Danio rerio: one gene and its partner. The protein of the gene in region 1 interacts with the protein of each later gene in a pairwise test. Links are inferred from orthologs where the notes say so. Each region holds a gene or a part of one and is shown on either strand. Other genes may lie near its edges.

The links.
Region 2: the proteins of ppp1cc (region 1) and cops5 interact in a two-hybrid assay, tested with the Homo sapiens proteins (2 studies listed by BioGRID and IntAct). The link is inferred for Danio rerio from reciprocal best matches to the Homo sapiens genes PPP1CC and COPS5.

What each region holds. Positions count from the first base shown.
Region 1 is NC_133180.1:2,464,185-2,467,947, reverse strand, and holds the start of ppp1cc (serine/threonine-protein phosphatase PP1-gamma catalytic subunit A), read right to left. Parts: upstream 2,161-3,763; 5' UTR 1,979-2,160; coding exon 1,924-1,978; intron 1-1,923. UniProt on the Homo sapiens protein: Protein phosphatase that associates with over 200 regulatory proteins to form highly specific holoenzymes which dephosphorylate hundreds of biological targets.
Region 2 is NC_133199.1:27,640,381-27,643,495, reverse strand, and holds part of cops5 (COP9 signalosome complex subunit 5), read right to left. Parts: coding exon 3,078-3,115; intron 2,963-3,077; coding exon 2,851-2,962; intron 1-2,850. UniProt on the Homo sapiens protein: Probable protease subunit of the COP9 signalosome complex (CSN), a complex involved in various cellular and developmental processes.

The sequences.
Region 1 (3,763 bases):
GTAACAAACATTTTCTATTCTTTAACAGACTTATTTCTTTAGATATTATTTTTATACATGATATTATTATTTCAAATGACTAAAATGTGAATAAGTCACTTTGTGCACTTTTGATGTTAAAAATACAACAGAGGAGAGATCAACATAGCATAATGCAATTTGCCACCGCAAATAAACCCAAAACACACAAAATAGAGAAACTGTTCACTAATATATTTTTTACAGTGTAAGAGGACAAAGTAAAAGCACATGCATATCAGTATGTGTATGATGCTGAAATCACTACTGCAGAAAGTACAAGTAAAAATGGGTCAAAGCTGCTGCAGTGCTAAATCTGAAGTCAGACCCGCTTATGAAGGATACATACCTTAATAATACATTTAATGTTAGTCTAAATAATAATATCTGCCAATATGAACTGTGTTGCATATAAAAATTAAACAAGCGAGAAATGTTATGTAAATGCATTTCTTCACTGTATACAATAAAACTATAAAATCTTGCATAATCATTCTGCCTTTATTGCACCTGCTGCTTTTATAATGCATTCCAGAAAGCAATTATATTTTGCAAAGATACAATTCATTGTATAATAAAATATAAATCTATTTGTATAGTGCTTTTCACAATAATTCATTTCAAAGCAGCTTTACAAAAGGTGCACATTTCATTACAGTCAATTCAAAAAAAAGCTAAAATGTTGTAAACATAGTTGGGCTCATACACATTTTTACTACTAAAATTTCATGATTTTGCCAAGACTTTCATGTAAATGTTCATGACCTAATGTTTCATGCAATGTCTACATATGCGTGGTAAAAGAAAAGCAATGCATGTTCAAATTTATTAGAGCATAGCATAAAACATGCAACAATCCATTTACTTTCAATTTATATCCATGCAAAATTAATTTAGATAATGCTTACACCGCACTAATAATATGAGAGTATGTGATTGGCCAAGGACAGAAAATAAGAGAAAAGCCTATATTCAAGTATTTGTCATGACTTTTCTAAAACTGTGTAGGTTTTTCTGTTTTTCCAAAACTTTTCCAGGCCTGGAAAATGCCATGTAAAAATTCCATGACTTTTCCAGGTTTTCCATGACTGTATGAACACTGTATAACCTGCAGTTGTACAGGATGTGATGTCCTTCCCCCCCTAAAAAATATATTTACATGTAATAATAATACATGTTTAAAGTCATAATATAAGCAAATACAGTGTTCATATTCAATCAGAATTAAGAGTTTATCATGTTTTAAAGTTCTCATTTTCAACAGTTTCATATTGTTAGTCATTAAATAAGGTTTTAAGATGTCTAATTAAAGCAAGGATTTTTAATAAACATTTTATAGAGATGACACCCTCAAATTGTATAAATTTGGGTTGAACTCAAAAATATTGTTTTTCCTAGCGCTAGAAATCACACTTTTGACATTTCAAGCCCTGTTGTTAATTTTAATGACTGTGGTACACTAATAAACAGCTGTTTTGATGCTCAAATATGTATTCAATATCATAATATCAGCATTAGTCAGTGTACTAACGTAATGTGTTTACTGAAGCACCGAAACCGCGCGTACAGCTTGGCAGTGTCACAAACACCAGTGAACTGCCCACACAGAGTGTATTTTATAGTCAAAAGTACTGTCCATTCGAAACCAACCAATAATATATAATCTTCAAATATATCAGTATAGTGTCTATGTAGAAAACTCTGTATTTGACACACAGCCGTTTGTGTCAGTGAGCAGAGCTAATGCGCAGCTAACTCTCGCTAGCTCAGCTAACGTAACATCCATAAAAACGACAGAGTTGATAGATCAAGCATATACATATACACACACAACCCTTATGGCAATTATATAGTTACTTATGTTATTAAAAGTACATTTTAGCTGTCACTTGGCTTGAAACTCACCCTCGAGCAGGCGCTGAATGATGCTGTCTATGTTGAGTTTGTCGATGTCAGCCATGACTAGCCGATAAAAACACAAACACCACCGCTTAAAACACACCAGACACGACAGATAAAACGACTTCGATTAAAAACAAACTGGTTAATCACAAAACTCTAAAAGAAAAGATTAAAATGCTCGAGCGGGCCCGTTAGACGCGCGTGCTGCGGCGGTGGCGCACCGGCTCTGCGGAAGGACACGCAATTCGGCTCGGTTTCACCGCTGATGGAAACGGGAGGGCGGATGAACACAAAGGAAAGGAAGAAAAGTAGTGCGGAGGAAAGAGGAGGGCGTGCCGCTGACTTTCACAATAACGTGTGACGTTGAATGTTAATTGCAATGAAAAACTTTTAAAAACACATGTTTAAAACATATCCTACACATTAACATAATTATTTATTTTAACCAACAACGTCTTTTGGCATGCTGTTATTACAGTAGACCTAATACAAATATTATTTCATTTGAAAAAATTGCATTATGCATTTAATTTATGCTGATTCGGGTATACACATGTACTAGTATTACATTATTTGACAGTTCTGTTTATGTTAATTAACCAGATGCCTTGTCAACTGTTATTTATTATAATAACCTAATAAAAAATTATTAATTTTGGCATAAAATCTAGTTTTACAGTATTTGACATGACCTTTTATATTAACTAACCACATTTTTTTGTCAATTGTCATTCATTATAGTAAAAAAAATATTATTTAATTTGTAGTATTTTTGCATTAGAAATTAATTAATGCTGATTTTGGCATTAAAAAAAAACTAGTTTTATAGTATTTGACATTACTTTTCATGTTAACTAACCTCATCCTTTGTCAACTGTCAATACCATTACATATTTTGTCATTTGTGGTAAGGTATTTACTCAGTATGCATTTAATTCATGCTAATTTAGGTATTAAAAATACTACAGCATTGCAATGCAGGCCCGTAGCCAGCCTATTAAAAGGGTTCTCAAAAAGTGGAACTTTTTGCAGCTATTCGGCTCATTTTTATCAAATACATTGACATTTTAAGCACAAATTTTTGGATTAGCTTGTCGGATGGTTATCATTACAATACTTTTTGACGCAACAAATATTTTCCTATATTTTTGTCAAAGTGCTTACCATACTATTAACAAAAAATTGTGTTTATTTACAACTGTGCATTTAAAATTTACACTATTACTTTTTACAAATAATGTAATGAGATTAGAATTTAAATTAAACATTTTGAACTAAGAAATTCGAAAAAATACTTATTTTTTCAAATGCTAATTTATTATTATCCATCATAAAATAAGGAATCTGTTCAAAGTTGTTTTAAATTAAAAAACTTAAGCCTATATTTAGAGAAATTATCAACCTACGTCACAGGGGTTCCTGGTGTCAATAGTAATAGTTGTGCGGTAGGGTGCCAAATCCAACTTTTCAAATGCAGCTTAACATTTACCGTACACCACACTGCTTTAATGCCAACTGCAGACATATTTAGCTATAAGGGAGCTGAATGGAGTGAGGACCTAATTAGAAATGCTGGACTCTGCAGTTCTCATGTTATATCAGGTGAGTTCACGCTATGCTGAATCAGACACGTTACTGGTTTTTGATTGCAGCAAAAACAGTTCAATATGGTTAATTAAACTGCGGACACTGAATGCCTAGAATGAAATGTGTGTTCACATAACCTGCTGTACAGGTGTAGTTTGCTGTGAGAATGCAGTAGTTCTGCTTGTTGATGATTATCCAGGCCTTGTACAGCTCCGTCTTCTTTCCTTGTCTTTGGCTGGGCAGAACCTCAGTTTTC
Region 2 (3,115 bases), on another chromosome or scaffold:
ACAAAGAGTCGCAATAAACACAGACTCGATATGACTTAAGGTCTATAGTGACGATGTAATCGCTGACAACACTTCTGCTTTGGAGAAGCAAGTCGCTCTTGACAAGTAGTCAATTTATCTGCAGCACATGAGGCCGCTGTTTAGATAGTCCACAGCTCAACGAAAGCCTTAAACAAAGCTCATGACAGAATGTCGTAGAAGACGATGACAAGCTTTCAAAACAAATAGGCAGGGAAACAAAAGCAGCATCTACAAATATTAATCATGTGCACAGGTTGTCAACAAGCCCCCCTGCCATATTTGCAATCTCCTAAAATGCTTAAACCGTTAGGAATGCAAAGCTCCAGGATAATAAATATGTGAATATCTTAACAGGAGAAAGAAGAGATGATTTTGGAATATTAGCAAAGTGACAAAAAGATTAATACAAGTATAATATTTCTATTATTATTATTAATATATACATTCTTTCTTTCTATATATAATGCCCAAAACTACTTTACACTCTAGCCAATGGCTGCTGAGTGAAAACTGTGAAATTACTTAAATTAATCTTTAAGTTCATAATAATAATAATAATAATAATAATAATAATCATTAAATAATTGAATTATAACAATATACAATTGCATGTATAATAGGGCTGCACAATATACTGTTTCAACATCAATTTTGCAATGTGTGAATCAGCAATATTCATATCGCAGGATATGCAATGTCAAGTTTGTAGTTGATCAGCATCACAGTTCTGAACATGGGATTTGTGGAGTCATTGCAAAGTTTCACCCTAAAATAGAGTGTAATATTTTCATTTAGATGAATTTTTAAGACCTGTGACTGTGTATGATTTAAGCAAACCTAAACCAAAAGGTTATAAAGGTATATAAACCAAAATGAATTGTATTTAACTACTTGTACTATGAAGACTGTACACTATACATTGTTATTTTATCTGTTATTATAAAATTTCTATACCTTAATACTATTAGATTCCGCAGAAAACCATCACATGAATTTATATTTGTTCAATACAAAATGTAAAACTGTACAAAATGTAAAAACATGAATTCATTCCAAATGGAGTTATACGCCATCTTGTGAACTTACAGTGCTCAGCATAATTGAATACACCCCATTTTGAATATTTGTATCCATTTCTCAGTAAATATAGGCAATGTATTTTGGTGCATTTAAACAAAACAGATTTATAAAACAGATATATTTATTAAAAGAATATTTTAGTCACCAAACATGTTTACAAATTGTAAGATAATACAATTAAATTTAAGCAAATTAATGCAAAAAATATTTATATTTATTACCTACAAAATTTCAACAAAAATTTTCAGTTTTTTTTTGTTTCACTTAATTTTTTTTTCTGTTTTAAAATTTGTATTTAATATTTTTTATAACATATGAATTTGACTGTACTAGTTTTTGGACCGTTATCGTAAGTTATTTTGTTAGACAAGCTCCAGATTTGACTTCAGTACAGACTAGTCTAATGTTTATGCACACATATATTATTGTAAAGCTTCCTATTAAAAATTTAAAAGACAGATTTGTGAAGGGTGTACATATATATGCTGAGCACTGTATGTTACTATCGCAATATACATTGCAGACAAACTAAATATTGCAATATGAGTTTTAGTCCAACATCATGCAGCCTTAATAATAGAACTATAAAATGAGAAAAAAATTATATTTATGCTGTTTTTACTTTGCTTTATTTTGGCAAAAATTTGAGGGTTAATTTCTCATTGGAAATGCTTTTTTGGGGACAACAGATTTTGAAATCATTCTTTTCTCTTCTTTGTAAAAACTTTATTTTGCAGAGATTATTGTACTAATGTTTTGCTTCTTGTACTAATGTTTTGCTTCTTACACTGTCTTTACACACCTGAAACTTGCCTACAGCACTTATTCATTGTTGCTCTTATAGTTGTGTAAATTGCTTCCTTGTCCTCATTTGTAAGTCGCTTTGGATGAAAGTGTCTGCTAAATGACTAAATGTAACTGACAGTTTAATTGCAAAAACAGTTTACATACAACATTCGTTACAGATTTTATTTGACTCCTTTATGGGAAAAACAGCAATTGTGATTTTTAAAGATAATACAGATCCCCTTCACTCAGCTTTTGAAATGTTACCATCGGGACCAAGCTTAAAATGCATGGAACATGAAGAAATACTTATAAGAAGTCATTTATCCCTATTGCAGTTGTATTAAACCTTACCACTGTTTAATGTGAACGGTGCGGTTGTTAAGAATAATCTGGAGTAATATGTATGGGGCTAATATGGTTGTCTTGAAGAGTGTTGCTATTATGTTATTGTTGTACGGTTTATTTATGTTACCAGTGTAAAAGACAAATTTCCTTTCTGTGCCAAGCAGAAAAGATAATAATGTTTAAACTAAAATTAACATAATGTAGCTTTCAGAACTGAAGCCCTTTAATTTAAACAATTTACAGGGAAAAGGTTGAAAGTGATTTTCTATGCTCCTCAATTTTTCATTGTATTTGCAATCTCTTATATAATAGAAATGAATACATGCATGCCTGCTTCATAAAAGCTATATTGTCACCCTTCATCACATTTACTGTAGATGTTTTTAGAAACTGGTCAGAAATTCAGATTTTGGATTTTTTGTATTTATATTTTTGTAACAATTTACAGTGGTTCAGGCCATTTTTTGATTTAAGAACAAATTCCAAGCAAAAAAAAAAAAAGGCTAGACTTAAATTTATGCCGTTTATATTAAGTAATCCAACATGACAGATGATGTTGGCACATATCTAAATGTAATATATATTAATTTTACACCAATAAAAGTGTGTGCTTACTGTCAGTAGGCTTGAGGAGCTCAAAGTGTTGACCCAATACTTATTCCACAGCAGCTCTAGGAGTTTGCGGTCCAGGGAAGACTTAAAATAAGACACTTCTAATGCATAATACCTAAAAACAAACAACAGCTTATCGTTAACTGCAAGTCAATATATTTTCAAAATATAACAAGTGCATAAAAAGGCTAAAAAAAAGGAAATATATTCAATATGTCATGCACACTTACTGTTTGCAATGCACTCCAAAATCCTCAATTTTGTTAAG